2 linked regions of the Arabidopsis thaliana genome follow. The protein of the gene in region 1 interacts with the protein of each later gene in a pairwise test. Each region holds a gene or a part of one and is shown on either strand. Other genes may lie near its edges.

What was found. The genes of interacting proteins can lie anywhere in the genome.
Region 2: the proteins of AT4G30410 (region 1) and AT3G57800 interact in binary tests that used the Arabidopsis thaliana proteins (3 or more experiments, as listed by UniProt).

What each region holds. Positions count from the first base shown.
Region 1 is NC_003075.7:14,868,853-14,875,793, forward strand, and holds AT4G30410 (sequence-specific DNA binding transcription factor), read right to left. Parts: upstream 3,416-6,941; 5' UTR 3,000-3,415; coding exon 2,457-2,999; 3' UTR 2,132-2,456; downstream 1-2,131. UniProt on the Arabidopsis thaliana protein: Functions redundandly with IBH1/BHLH158 in a regulation node known as the incoherent feed-forward loop (FFL).
Region 2 is NC_003074.8:21,406,070-21,415,637, reverse strand, and holds AT3G57800 (basic helix-loop-helix (bHLH) DNA-binding superfamily protein), read left to right. Parts: upstream 1-4,025; 5' UTR 4,026-4,316; coding exon 4,317-4,862; intron 4,863-4,934; coding exon 4,935-5,048; intron 5,049-5,139; coding exon 5,140-5,205; intron 5,206-5,701; coding exon 5,702-5,797; intron 5,798-6,067; coding exon 6,068-6,112; intron 6,113-6,342; coding exon 6,343-6,411; intron 6,412-6,559; coding exon 6,560-6,631; intron 6,632-7,042; exon of another isoform or gene 7,043-7,237; intron 7,238-7,331; coding exon 7,332-7,604; 3' UTR 7,605-7,849; downstream 7,850-9,568. Other genes in the region: AT3G57790 (Pectin lyase-like superfamily protein), read left to right, coding at 8,550-9,142, 9,299-9,568.

The sequences.
Region 1 (6,941 bases):
TTAACCGGTGAGTAGTTATCGCAAATTTCTTCAGATAAATTAAAATCCTGAACTTGATGTTGTTAGGTTAAAGTTCAGACTAAAGTTGGCTATCAATACTACATATGTTTAGCGGAACTGTTAGTCATACAATTTGTTGTGTCTAATATGAATTTTCTTTTTAACAATAAGATAATGAATCATATAATTTGCAGTTGAGATACAAACCATTATTCTATGAATCTTTGTTTATATGTTTTTTTTCCTTAATTTCTGTTTTCTGGAGCATTAGATAAGAAGTAGGTGTGGTGGTAAGACAGTTGCATTGAATTGAGGCAATTCTTCTTACGACAAAAGAGTGACATCTTGATTCTTGTGCGATATGTTGTATACATGTATGTATGTATTTAAATGTTGAATGGCTAAAGTTTTGCATTAATGGGTGAATTAATAACGGGCATGGAAGCAGTTGGATTACATGCCCACTAGTCACTTAGTCTTTATTGCGTGACAACTTACATGTAATTTTATAACGTTAATAACATTGGTTTATGTGCAAAGTTAATTCATCCCAATTTTGCGACCAAAAGTTTATTCATCCCTATAGGAATAGGTCAAAAATCAAAGAAAATATACACTAAAAGATAATACGAAATTTTTACCACATAGGGTGTCTCTATCGGTTATAGTGGTATACAATTTTTTTGTGAAAGTGATTCTTGATTCTAGCTTGGACCATATGCTAGAATTATCGTATACTCAAAGCCGTTTATTTCTATGTATAAATGGTGCATTTGCATTATTGCATAAGAGTTTGGATTTTAAAATGAAAATAAACCTTTTTTGTAACACTCCTTTAATATGTATGAGAATATGACATGATTTCTTGTAAGCTATAACATTCAATTTCTGTTTGACTTTAAAATTCTTAGATAGTTCCCCAAATGATTTTTTTTGAAAAAGGGTTAAGTTCCACAAATAGTTTGAGACAACTTTCTCCTAAATCCTAATGTTTGACTAACCTTTAAAATTATAAGTCGCTTCTACTTAATAATTTCCTTGCTCCTCGACAATTCTACAGCCAAAAATAAAGTCACATAAGTCAAACTCACAATTTCTCAAGAGTCAAGACATTAATAAGGGAAGACTACATGTCGTTTTAAGATAAAATAAAGGGCAACGCCGTGTTGTCTCTCTTTCATTCACTTCTTGAGTTCTTTCCCTTTAGTTTGTGTGGACATTTGACTGGTTAACAAGAGTCCAACTGTTATTAAACAAACCATTTACGAGTCCAATTAATAACAAACTGGGCTGGGCCTAACAGAACATAAACAAGTTTCTCAAAATGTGTAATATTATATTGGTATTTTTTTTTCGTTTTTTTCCTTCTAATAATCTCCAAAGAAAATGTTGGCAAGTTAGCTGTTACAGAAAAACCATTGGGGTTGTTGTCAATAGAACTTGCAGTTTAGACCACATACAGAAAAAATCGAAAATACCCCTTTGTTACATGATCTAACATATAAAGTACGTGGCAAATAAGATTTTTTTTTTAATAAGAATTTGTTCAAACAAAAATGAATGCAGATCTAACTGAGAAGTGAGAATCATTAATCATATGTACATAGATGCACATATAAATGGATAAATACCATCGGTGGGAGGCATAGCTTTCATGAGACAAAATAATATATCTTTGAACGGTGTTAATTAATTTAGCTAGGAAAAAAATGAACGTGAATATGTACGTTTTTTTTTTCCTCGTTGCCATTAAGCGTCTTCTTCCTTAGCTGAATACTAAATGATGCTGATTGATGAAACATGGAGTATATACGAAAAAGACTGATTTTTACACGTGCTGTCTTATTGGTTGTTTTGTTCTAGTAGACTAGTACTATCCTTTCAAACCAAGTCTTTAACCCAAAAAAAAACATAAGCAAAGAGTCAAATATATATTGGACAACTCATATGAGCTAATTAACATTGAAAATCTGAAAAAAAAAAACAGAAAAAAAACTCACATGAGCTAGTATATATCATTTGTTTTGGGTTGACATGTCAAATGAGCTATCCAATACGAGTGAGTTGTAATAAAACTGAACCAGATATCTATAATATAAAATAACATTTGTCTATTTTTTTCTCTCAAATAAAAACATGCCAAGAAAAGCAATCGAAGCGTTAAAAATATCTTAAAATTCACTCACATTAACTAAATTAAATTCAAAAAAAATAAAAATTTGCCAAGAAATGTTCCAATAAAAACCACCATCACGTAGCAGAAACTTTCTATAAGCATTGTATAAATTTCCTTATGTACAAAATGGCTTACTATAATATCTCTCCATCCTCGTATGACAATTGCATTGTCCGAATAACATACGGTTCTAATGACCAACAACAAGATCCGATCGACATCATGCTTTCGCAACTAATCTCCGCAGATAAAAAAATAAAACAAGATTTTTTTTTATCATTTATCTCTCAATTTCGGCCTCGGCAGCATCAACAATACTTCTCATAACATTTACTTGCGTTTGAAGCGACACAATGTAATCTAACGTTTCTTGAAGCAACAAGACGTCATTGCTCATCAACTCACCACCAGGTACAACGTTTCTTAATCCTTGAGTCCGTCTCTTGACGAGTCTCTTAGCTTTTGCTGCAGCCTCTTCGCTCGCTGATTTCGATTTCCTCCTCAAGATCTTCTTGCTTCGCCTCACGATCTTCCTATGACACACAGTCTTCTTAGGCAACTTCTTGTTGATTAACGTTTCCGCTTTGATGCCGGAAAGCATCTGACGTACGAGGAAATTGTCCTCGGTGGCGGTTTTCTCGATTAGGGCTCGGCTCCAACAAGTTGTTCCTTTTCTTAGAGACGCCATTGCAACGTCTGCAGAGAGCTTTATTGCTTTTTTTCTCTCGTGGACGCTCGTGTTGTCTATCGAAGGACGGAATATTTGAAGACCCATTTGCCATTTCTTTAGGAATTCTTCATTCATTGAGCTCGTAGGCTGCATCCTAAATCCTAATCAAGTAGAAATATACTCAATTATGAGTCATTTTTCAAGAAAAAGTAAGTTAATCCTAAGTAATAAACCATGATGTCTTTATACATCAAAGGGATACATGTATGTAATATACTAATATACATCAAATCATAACCAAACTGGATTTTTTCCCCGTTTAGGGTTCCTTATTATAACCAGAAGAGACATGAACACATACCTTTTTAAGAATTTGTTTACTTCTAGTGTCGTCAAAGATTGCTAAGAACAAATCTGCGGTCACCTCACGAATTCGTGAATTCGACGAGAGAGAGGGAAAGAGACAGAGAGGTAAGGGAGAGAGAAAGGAGAAGGAAAGGGTCCATTTTAATTGTTTCAAAAGGAGAGGGAAAATGGTGGGGGCAATAGGAGATAGGAGAAGCACATGCATGCACATGCTACGAATGGCCCACGTACCCTTTTGTATTACCCTATAATTTAGGAAACTTTTGTCCATTATTATTTGTTTCCGCCGAAAATTTGTGATGATATATATACGTTTTGATGTTTTAAGTTTTGCAATTATGAGGATTTTATGAAAAAAAAAACATTTTTTGTGTATCTTTCGTTTGTTTTCTGTCAACTGCGTAGCTTCATTTGGTTTTTTTTTTCACACTCCGTGAATCCGTGATATATAATGATCTCATCACTCGTATATATATGTATGTAATGTATGTTCACATATTTGATTTAACATGTAATTCTCTATCTGACAACCTTATCAGTCAGCGCTGTCGCCAAGCAAATAAAGGCCTATATAAGCACGCTAAATAATCTAGATTATCTTTGAATTGGTGTCATTACTTAGTTAGAACATATATAATAACTAAAAAAGTCCATCTCAGTTTTGAAATTTAAATGTTAAAGAACGTAAAGTATAGATTAAAAAGTTGTGGTTCTCCAATGTTGTAGATTGAGTCATCAGTCTTCCATAAAAGTTTATAATCTATATATACTTACCGTGACCTGGATCACCTAAATCACCTAAGGTTATAAAAAGATAACAAATGATATAGAATGTATAGCTGAGAATAATGGCTGGTTCTGACGATTGTGAGTGCGTAATTTGTTAATGTAATATGTTCAGTTATTATCGAGCAATATTCAGTTTGATTATTGTCGAACAATGAGTGAATCTATTAATCATATTTACCATTATACGTCAATAATTTACATACAAAAAACAGAATTTGAGAAATTTATGATGCATTGCATTGCACAGTGCACACCTTGGTTATACGGTGCATTATTTCATCTTCTTTTTGATGCTTCACAGTGATACATTCACAACTAGGTATCAAATATGAAAAGCATGGTCAACACATTAACTGTGCCATAACTTTTTTTATACACATACAACAAATAACATCAATATGGTGTTAGTGGTTAAAACGTGGCGATCCGCAAACTTTGGGAAAGCCTGGTTTTGAAAAAGAAAAAAAGAAACAATAATAATTGTTGATAAAAAGGAAAAAGAAACAATAATAATTCATTTATATTGGTCAATTTAATTCAGAAAACGAAAAAATGATATTGATAGATGTACATGAATATAAAAGTTGATGTTCGATAAATATATACAACTATCGAAAGAGAAATATTTTTGATATTAAAATTAGCTTTTTTTCTCCAACAAAATACATCGAACATGGATCTTCTGGTGCGGGGATTTGTTTTCCAATGGACCTCCGTAATTTACGGGAATCTCAACAATCATTCTCCGAACTCTACACGCCCACCATCTCATTGTCGTCACCATCAGTCAAATTTTCTTTGATTAAAATGTTTTGTGCCCTTAATCACATTCTACGACGTCGTTAATGTGGCAACACTCTTGCATGCACGCGTCCACCGAAGCGCATGTGCACACGTGGAGGGACCCTTACCCATTGGTTCTTTTACTTTTACATTTTTTCACTCACCAAAGAGTGATTTTCAACGGTGACTCTCACAGTCTCTCTGATTGACGGCTGTGATATGTTTTAAAATCATTTACTATCATATAAGAAATTCAGATTTACTGACAGGTCGATTGTCCTAACAGTTGATAAACTTCCAAAAATTGAGGATTTATAGTACAATCAAATTGTTTCTAGTGTCTTGAATCAAAGAACACCAAATGGTCTTGATCTACAGAGAGATATCTCGTACTTTTTGAATTTGCAAAAGATATGTGAGATGACATTGCAGAACAATACATTGATGTTACTGTTGAGTGTTGACAGATGTAACTATAATATAAAAATAATGTTTGAGATCATTGGTGGCGTGGCTGATGGTTTCATCACTCATCATGGGGAATAAAACAGACGAGTTCACAAGATGCAATAGTGAGAGTCCATTGATGCAAAACAGAATTATATGTAAAACAAATAGTTTTATCAAAGTGTATATAAAATGTAACATATGATTCATACGAAGAGTACTAATCTAAGTAGAATAGTTATAGGAAATGGTAACTCTAGCTTATCCTCAATATATGTTTCAATTAATCAAGTATAATATTATTTTACCGATCAACTATTTTTTTCATTCAACTTTATCTGATATACTATTTACGAGCTCCATTCTTATCATAATCATATAACGCATGGTCTTAGATAAATGTATACTATAGTCTATGTGTAGGCCATGTGAAATAATTTGAAGTTAAAAAGGTAGAAGAACCGACGGAATGGTGAGTGGATTAGCTTCAGTTTCATGGTATCTACTGCTATCTACGAGTCTACGACCGATACAGCCTAAAAGTCAATTAAAGTAACTGTTTTTATTTTAATTGGATAATGTTTAGGGTATAATCTAAAATCAATAAACATAATCTCCTTTTAATGATATGTTTGTCTCCTTAAATCAAGGGTAGATTAGTGTCTTCTTCCGTACTCTTCCAAGGACAAAAGTAAAAAACTTAATTCAGACTTTACTACGAACCGATACTTTTTTAAGAATAAAATATGAAAATGCATAGTTGCGTACATAAGTCATCTATATGAAATTGTGAATTGAAACATATCATTATTTAAAATGGTAACAACCCGAACAATCAATGTGAAACATGCTAAAACAAGATTCATTAGTGCATAACATGGAGAGAGAAAAATGAATTGTGATTAATAATTGTGCTAGTTGCTAATTAATTAGTGACGTTGGAGGAGTGGGTGTTTTCACATGGGAAGTTTCTTTCGTTAAGTTCATATAGCTAAGACATTTAATACTACAAGAGGGAGACTTTATTTTGGACTGTCATTATATATATGCTCTAATTAAGTTCCTTAATGGAGCTATTCATAGTTACTTTAGAGGAAGCAGATGTTTTGATAGGGTGCCAATTGTGAATAATCAAAGTTTTACCCATCATTGTTTTACTCATTACTTCTTCATATTTTCTGATGATTCAGCCAGATCTGTCCAAGGCATCCTCATTGTCCTCTTTGAATTCAAACACATGGCTGATTTTTCCCTTTTGGTTTTCTGCATTTGAAATCAGGAGCTAGAAAAGAAGACTCTAATTAACATCTCTCATAATGTTGTTTAAGACTCCCTCTCTGCACCAAGAAATGATCAATGTGAAACGATGAAGTTCTAGCTAAATATCGTCTATTTTGACAAAGAGGAAGTGTGTTAATTGAAAATTATACAATGATATTAGTGTCGTTGATAATTGTTTTCACCAAATTTAACAAAAAACGAAGGTTGAGAAATATATTAATTGAACGGCCATTTGGGGTGAAGCATTACGATTGCATTAGAGTGTTATTTTAGTTCATCTTCTAGATCTGTAGTAGCAGATATTCTTATTAGATCGATAATATTAAATAAATACCTGCACTACAACTAATATAAATTGATCAAACAAATATACAATTAATTTAAAACAAGAAATTAGTGCTAACTCATGGACTCACTTGTCTGTACTAA
Region 2 (9,568 bases), on another chromosome or scaffold:
TATGTTTGCCAGTTATTTTGCATGAGAAATGTTTTTTTTTTTTAAACTAGTACATATTTGATCGTATTGAAATTTTGTACTTTTTTCACTTAAGAATACTGAACTGGTTGGTTACTACATACGATAATTTTCGAAATGAATTATTTATACGTTCGTCCAGATTAAACTAATAATATCTTGATACTTGGAATGGGAAACCCAACAAAAAGTTAGTCTGTGTCAGAAAACTTTTCCGGAAACTGGCAATAGTCTCGAACAGCTTGCCGTTAGTACTACAATCTACAAACAACACAAAGGACTCTGGCAAAGCAATGAATAAGTTGGGCCCATCGTTTTCGCGGCCCATTTAGACCCAAACAGAACACATCACTCGCCGTGCAACTTGGTCAGTGGGTCCCCCCCATCATTTTTGGCCTTCGGGTATTCACAGGGGATCATCGACGATGGGCCCAACTTTATCACAAGTCCTTTTTTTTGGGTACTTCTTTTATGGGCCCACTTTGTTTCGTCCTTGTCTCCTGGGCCCTTCGTATGTTCCGGTCTTTATCATCATCACTATATTTTCTTCTACCTTATCAATTTTAATTTTTCTTTCATTGTGTGTGTATGCGAGACTCTTATTTCTAATCCATGTCTACGCATCAACTTATAATGTTATATGATCACATTGTTACGATGAGGTATTGTTTTACAATGGATCTTAAACAAACCATTAAGGTACAAACAATGACGATTTGTTGTATTTCTTTGTGTTCAGATTTTGTGGCACTCATTTCTGACATCAATTCGTTTTTTTTTTAATCAGACACATATAACAAAGTATCTTTGCAAATGAGCAAATTAATGCTATCTTACAATTAATGCATTTGAAAGTAGAATTTCATTCTTTAAGTTGAATGTATATATAATGAATTATAAGAAAATCGGTTGAATCCAACGAAACTAACATGTGAACAATGATCGATAGAAGTGTTTCGACTTGCATCACTCATTACCTATAACGTATTTACTATTTACTATTACACAACACTGTATCAGTATCGATCATTGTGCCAAATATGTATATACATGTACGTGTATTTAAATGTACGACGAATTCTATACGTGTAAACGTATAACGTAGAAAATTTAGAGACGTCTCCTTCGTAATCATTTAAGTATATATATATATATACACTTGGACAGTTCAATGTTATTGACGATTTATAATCATTACGACGCTAACCAAATTTAGCACTGGACTTAGACTTCTTATTTTGGGAGGTGAAGTGCATTCATGATGTTTGATATGTTTCAAAATATTATACGACTAAATAATCCAAACAATCTTTTGATGAAAATAAAAATGTTATAGTTGACGATAGAAACGAGCAATGCTTCATATAACGTGGAACAATTGCATTACATAGACAATTGCTTGTGGACATTCGTACTCTACATAAAATTAGTCGAAGTTAGCAAAATTCACCTAAGATATTGAATCGTTTGTGATACATTGCTTCTTCCTTTTGGGGGTTTGATATTAAATGCTTTTACAACTATATTTCCATTGACAATCTACCTTTATAATGATTATTAGCTAAACCAACTTACAAACAACGTTTTGACAACCATAATTGTTATGCACTTTTCAATAGTCTTAACTCTGCTTACGGATGTCGTTTGCTCAGCAATTTGGGAAATGGGAATAACTCATATAAAGAGATATGTGTGTTGTTGTGTGGATCCCATGCATGTCAGGTTTGTAACAGCTGTCGAATAATGCAAGCTACATAGAAAAATAAAACATTTTCATTAAAACACAAAAAGAAGAAGGTTAGAGAGAGCTATTCATTTATTCATCGAAACATTTTAATATGGGAAGAAGGGAATTCCCACACCACTCCACTACGAAGAGAGGCTTCTTGGGCCAGTGTCACGTGATTAACACGCGGATCCAGACCCACTCATATATAAACGAATTATCTATAATATTTTCTAAACATATTTCTTTATTCATCGCACATTTTTTTTTTTCATGCTTCACGTATACATCCGAAAAATCTTTGTGGTCTCGCCCATATCTATCCTTTTAAATCCATCATGATCCCAATGTGATACGTTAATAAGACCATCTGCAATGGTTGTCTCTATTTTTTTTTTGTAAATATAGAAGAGAAAATAGAGATTTCTATTTTTACTCCAATAATTCTTCAAAAATAGAAATCTCTATTTGTTAGAAAGAAAAATAGGGGAAAAAAATAGAGATCCATATTTTTGTTTCTATATATAGAGAAAAAAATAGAGATCTCTATAATGGAAGTGAGAATAGAGATGAGTTGGAGTGTAATAAAAGCAAAAATAGAGTGTAGAGACAAAAATAGAGATGTGTTGGAGATGCCGTAAGTATTGTGAAGATAATCCTCACAGCTTTCTCAGCAATAAAAGAAAATATATCTCTTTAATTTTTTATAAAGGTTTTATGTGTGAATATTAAAAACTTTAGTCTCATATGAGTTCGAGACTGTGCTCGGGAACAAATTTTATAAAGATAAATCATCTAAAATTGAACTGCGTTTATAATGGCAAAGACTTTGCATAATTAGAATGTTTCTTATTGATAAAGACTTTGCATGTTTCATACTCATTTTGACATCTAATTGAATAAAAACAGAAAAGAGCCGTATAGCTTCAAAATCTTTATATTTAGAATAAAGTGTATATATGTGAAAGAGTAACACATATGTACGTAGGAATTAGGTTGGTTAAAGAATTGGCCACATCAATATCTGAGACACCAAAGAAGTAATGGACGTTGGGAGAGTAAGTAACGTTGCCAAATTGGAAATGCCAAAAAAAGATTGTACCTTTCCTCTCTTTGATTGAGACTTTACTACTACACCAAACCTTACATCACCAATCGCTGAAAGTGAAACCGATATTTTAGCACATTTATATTCCACTTCTACACCTTTTTACTAAATTTCAGTTTTGAGATTTACTTACATGAAGAAGAAATTGGCTAATCAAAATAATCAAGCAACGATGATTTGTTGCAATGAAATGGAAATTGGGATTTGGGCTCAGATTATTAGAGCATAAGTGGATTTCCTGTTCGGCCCATTGTGTGAAACAGGTTATTCCACTGGACCCATCTGTTCATCTTTGTCCTCAAATTTTCCTCTCTATCCCCAAAACACCCTTTTAAAGAAGTAACATTAATTGTTTTTTTTTTTCCTTTTAATAAATTTATAAGATATTTTGAATTAATATTATTAGTACGTCTCAATTTTTATTTTATTTTTGCCTTTTATACTCTAAAGTTTTTAATACTTGATGAATTTTGAATATTTTTAAAAAATAAAAAAAATAAAATATTTTTAAAAAATTAATATTACGCTTGGTAGATTTCATCCAACGGCTGAGATAATTACTAAAATGGTGTTTTGAGCTCAATTATTTTTCCATATTAAAAAGTGTTTTTGGTTCTTGGTTATTTACAGGTCAACAAAATAATTTGACACCGGAATCGGAGTCCGTGGAAAGTCAGAAAACCTGATGTAACACCATTTATGGCATTAACTACTGATAATAATACTATACGAAAATCCAATTATTATACCGAGAAAAAAAGAAAAGTGGTCAGAGACAGCAGGCTGGTCCTGCTGAAGAATAAATCTAATCTACCGATTCGATTAAATAAATATGTGCCGTTTTCTGGTACGCCCTATTCAAATCATTTTTATATTATAGTATCAAAATACTTCAAAAATTTACTAATTACAAAATTAAGGAGTGATAAAAAAAGTTTATAATCAGAGATAAAAAGTCACCGGTTAAAGCCCAAAAGGCCCAAGTAATATCCATTGGGATCCAGCAAAATATATAACAAAAGAACCGTACCGTACCTACAATAACCAAAATTGGTTTTCTCTTTCTTTTGTCTAACAGTGGCCTTTATTTAACAGACGCACTCCACTGCTAACGTTGCTTTCGTCCTACTCTTCTTCTGGTGTAAAAGCTTTTCTTCCACACACATTTGAGAAAGAAGACGAAGAAGAAGAGAGAATAACTATTCCTTCTTCGCCAAGTTCTCTGAGCTATAGAAGAAGGAGGGATTTCTTCAGACCGCCATTGTTGCCCACCTTCTCTCCTTTCTATTTTTCGCCGCATTTTACTCGCTTACTGACAAAAGTCTTCTACTCAAGTCTCTCTCTCGCTCTCTTTGGAGGCTCAATTAGGGTTTTGTTGTCGTGAGATTTGATTACACAAATTGCTGAATTTGGTTTCGATTATTGGTGTTATTGTTTTCGAAGATTTCCAGTGAGTTTCCGTTTATGGATCTGACTGGAGGATTTGGAGCTAGATCCGGCGGTGTTGGACCGTGCCGGGAACCAATAGGCCTTGAATCGCTACATCTCGGTGACGAATTTCGGCAACTAGTGACGACTTTACCTCCCGAGAACCCCGGCGGTTCGTTCACGGCTTTGCTTGAGCTTCCACCTACACAAGCAGTGGAGCTTCTCCATTTCACTGATTCTTCGTCTTCTCAACAAGCGGCAGTGACAGGGATCGGTGGAGAGATTCCTCCGCCGCTTCACTCTTTCGGTGGGACATTGGCTTTTCCTTCTAACTCAGTTCTCATGGAGCGAGCAGCTCGTTTCTCGGTGATTGCCACTGAGCAACAAAACGGAAATATCTCCGGGGAGACTCCGACGAGCTCTGTACCTTCCAATTCAAGTGCTAATCTCGACAGAGTCAAGACGGAGCCTGCTGAGACCGATTCATCTCAGCGGTTGATTTCTGATTCAGCGATTGAGAATCAAATCCCTTGCCCTAACCAGAACAATCGAAATGGGAAGAGGAAAGATTTCGAAAAGAAGGTTAGAGTGAGAGACAAATGTTTTTACTTTTTTACATTTGATCCTTCGTTTCATCAGATTGATTTTTTATAGGGTAAAAGCTCGACGAAGAAGAACAAAAGCTCTGAAGAGAACGAGAAGCTGCCATATGTTCACGTTAGAGCTCGTCGTGGTCAAGCAACCGATAGCCATAGCTTAGCAGAACGAGTAACTTGCATCTGCCTTCACTAATTTTTCTTTTTTTTGGTATTAATCAGTTGATTAATTCGCTAATTGATCACTAATTTTTGGATTATAGGCAAGAAGAGAGAAGATAAATGCACGAATGAAGCTGTTACAGGAACTGGTCCCAGGCTGTGATAAGGTTTGTCTCTTAGATATAGACGTGTAATCAATTTGTTAATCAATCATTAGGTCTTCATTTGTGATTAACGACATTATATTTCTCTAATTGATTCACTCCAAAAGTAAGAATTTATTATTAGATGATCTAGTCTTTTTGTTAAGGGTCTTAATCCTTCACACCTACTTTTTTTTTTCTTCCTAAAAAGTGGATTGCTTAATTGCTTTTTTATTAAGAAAAGTGGTTCCTGGTGTGCCAAAGTAGCCAGTTGGGTAATTGTGTAGTAATGCCTTTAGAGATCTCAACTTTATTTTTTTATTTCGTGTGGGGAGAAATATCTCACGGGTACACACTTAGCTTTAAGGTTAACTCAGTCACACGGAAGTGATAGGACCTTGCTTTATCGAATTCTTTTTCCATAAGTGTGTTCGTTGAGCTTGAAGATTAGTCTATAAATGACGAGAATGACCTTAGGAAGTGTGCTAGCTGTAATATGCCATTAAGGTTTTGGGTTTAGGGGACAGATTTTGGTGGAAAGATCAAGATCAAAGTGTGTTTTGGGGTCCATCTTTTGATGATAAGTGGGAAAAAAGTTGCAATCTTTCTATGGAAGGTGAGGAAGGGGTAGTATCGTCTCTAACAAGTTCGGTATCTATCAAGGAAAAATAGAAAATGACTCTTAGAAGGACGATTAAAGCAAATGATCCTTTACAAAAATTGATATGCTTTGAGTCCCACATACCTAATTAGTTGGAAACATGATGTGACACTCCCCCAGACAGCTAATTAATCATCCCTGATGTTAGAAGTTAGCAGCAATTATTGGTGTGATAGAGATGATGATATGGAACATCAGTGTTTGTTTAAAATTTGGATTCTATAGGTGAGCTGTGAGGACTTGATTGATTGTTCCTTTAGCCCCCCTAGGGTATACTGATTACTTGTGATTGTAGTAGATACCATTTATTATAATAGCTTTAGATTAGCACGTCATTCTCTTGCTGCTTTTTTCACTGTGTATTTTGGAATCTTGGTATTTTCTCGTTGAAATATTGGATCATCTTAACAATAGTTAGCTGTCTAGAAAGAATTTTTGGTATGTGAAAGCAGATCTACCTAATATGAATCCGAGCTTATCAGAAAGTCTTTGACCTGCAGATTCAAGGTACCGCGCTGGTGCTGGATGAAATCATTAACCATGTCCAGTCATTACAACGTCAAGTGGAGGTGAGACTTTCCGTGGTCCAATTTTTGTTCTTTATACCTATATTTTACAATAGCCCTGGGCACAATAAAAGGGTCAACTCAAAACAATTTGAAAATGAATAGAATTATGTGCCGCAATCTCATGAAACTGTGACTTGTGTTTCCACAGATGCTATCAATGAGACTTGCTGCGGTAAACCCCAGAATCGACTTCAATCTCGACACCATATTGGCTTCAGAAGTAAGTATCAAAATCTCAAACAATAATTTGGTCATTCTGATTAGTCTTCTCTAGGAAAAATTTAACCATTTCATGTGTTTCTCATTTAAGTTAACCATACCTCTTTGAGTAGCTTCTAGTTTCTATCACAAAAGGAGAAACTTTTGGGGTATTTATTGATACAAACATTAATTTAGACCATTTTAGTGTAAGGCATAGGAAGATCACAACGTCTACTCTCATGAAGGAAACTCAGGGAAAAATAAATACACAACACACACACACACCCAATGCAAATAACAGTAGTGGGTCAAAACTCGGACCACCTTTGTTCTGTAAAACCTTTCTGTGTCTTCTGTGACTTATGTCGGATGTGTTACTTGATGAACCTTTTAAAAAAAAAGTTAATTCATCCCTCAATAATTTCTGTGGGTCTCTTCCAAAATCTTGTTATTTCAAAGTGACCTATCTAATTTCATGATCACCTGTGGATTCTCATCAAAAGTTTTGGACCAAACTAAATAAATGCTCCCTCTCTCTTTCTTCTTACAGCTTGTACCACCATTAAATAGCCAGGGACCCTCTCATCAAACCTTGTTCTTTTAGGATAATAATAACACAGCAACAACAGTTGACTTCTTTGACTAGATCAAGATCTCTATGAATGATCCCTTTGCTGATATCTTTTCCGGTTTTGGCTCTGTGTTTTTTTCTTTGACAGAACGGTTCTTTAATGGATGGGAGCTTCAATGCCGCACCAATGCAGCTTGCTTGGCCTCAGCAAGCCATTGAGACCGAACAGTCCTTTCATCACCGGCAACTGCAACAACCACCAACACAACAATGGCCTTTTGACGGCTTGAACCAGCCGGTATGGGGAAGAGAAGAGGATCAAGCTCATGGCAATGATAACAGCAATTTGATGGCAGTTTCTGAAAATGTAATGGTGGCTTCTGCTAATTTGCACCCAAATCAGGTCAAAATGGAGCTGTAAGTTGGGAAAACGGTAGAGATCATGAATGTGTATATACATCGTATAAGCTCGTTTCTCTCTATATAAATATAATCATAAATATAGATATCTGTTAAGAAGGTATCAGTCATTTGATTCAGAGAGACAACACTGGTATGATTGTTTCTTATTCTTGTACCAGATTTCGACAATGTAGAATTTAGTAGGATATGATCATTTTGATCTCGTTATATATATCTTACTAATAATAAATAGAGATAAAAAAATTCTATTTAGGGAAATAAATCAGTATCGATAAACAAAAACAGAAAGAAGAAGCAGGGGCATCCTTTGGATATTGGAGTTGCACGAAAAAGAAGAAGCAAAAACAAAATGCAACTATATGTTTAGATTGTTTGAGCTGGACCAAGTGAAAATGCACCTCTTGAATTATGGTTTAGGTTAGGTAACAAAAAACCCTAAATTGACTCATTCGATAAGAACAGAGATGCAATCATAAATATGAGTGCAAAGCACGTTACCGGAAGCTGTGATGGCCTTGTTTGCGTCTACCGTATAGAAAGATTGATGTGTATCATCAATCCCGCCACTAGATGGTATCGATCTCTTCCTCAGCCTAAGATTCAACAAATTAACCGCCTTAGACGAAATCTACACGAGAGAAAGTTTCACTTTTTAATTCTTTTGCTTAATCAATTTGCTTAATCAATTTGCTCATATATGTTTACTTAAATTTTTGATGTTTTTGTAGTATTATTTCACTATTATTGTGCCTAATTAATTGTTTTTGTTTTTACAAACTCTCTCATAGCTTATTATTCTGCATCAAACTATCCAGGATTCGGTAAAGACACTACGATCCTCATAGAAGAGATCTGGAATTCTAGTTTCAGTTGTTTATCAATTCCAATAAAGTCTACACACATAGACATAGGATAAGATTATTATTAAGACCTTTAAAAAAAAATGATGGGAAGCATATTATTGTTACTATTATTCTTTTCTCTGGTCCAATCACGTTCAGACACGTCATATTCAAAAATTCAACTTCCCGGCGATTCTCTGACCCTCTCCGTTACCGATTTCGGTGCTACCGGCGATGGTATCAACTACGATACTTCTGCGATTCAGTCAACCATTGACGCCTGCAATCGTCACTACACATCTTTTTCTTCCATCTGCCGCGTCGTTTTCCCTTCCGGCAACTATTTGACCGCTAAGCTCCATCTCCGATCTGGCGTCATTCTCGATGTGACGGAGAACGCCGTGCTTCTCGGTGGACCGAGAATCGAGGATTATTATCCGGCGGAGACTTCGTCGGATTGGTACGTGGTGGTGGCGAATAACGCTACGGATGTTGGAATCACTGGCGGAGGAGCGATTGATGGCCAAGGATCGAAGTTCGTGGTCAGATTCGACGAGAAGAAGAACGTGATGGTGAGCTGGAACCAAACCGGAGCTTGCTTGGGTGATGAGTGTAGACCCAGGCTTGTTGGATTCGTTGATTCTATAAACGTTGAGATCTGGAACATCACACTACGAGAGCCTGCGTATTGGTGGTTAGTTTTGAAACTTCTGCTTTTCACAAAGAACTCTATGAACAAATTTGACTTTGTTTCACTATCTTAGATCGAAGATAAAGTAACTCTAGCTGAGAATTTAGGCTTCTGTGCTAAGTAATCTCTGATTTGATTATATACACACTCTCATTGCAGTTTGCACATTGTGAGATGTGAGAACACATCAGTCCATGATGTATCGATCCTTGGGGACTTCAATACTCCAAATAACGATGGAATCGACATTGAAGATTCCAACAACACTGTTATAACTCGGTGTCATATCGATACTGGAGATGATGCAATCTGTCCCAAGACTTACACTGGTCCACTTTACAACTTAACCGCTACAGACTGTTGGATCCGGACCAAATCCTCAGCCATTAAACTCGGTAGTGCGAGCTGGTTTGATTTCAAAGGTCTTGT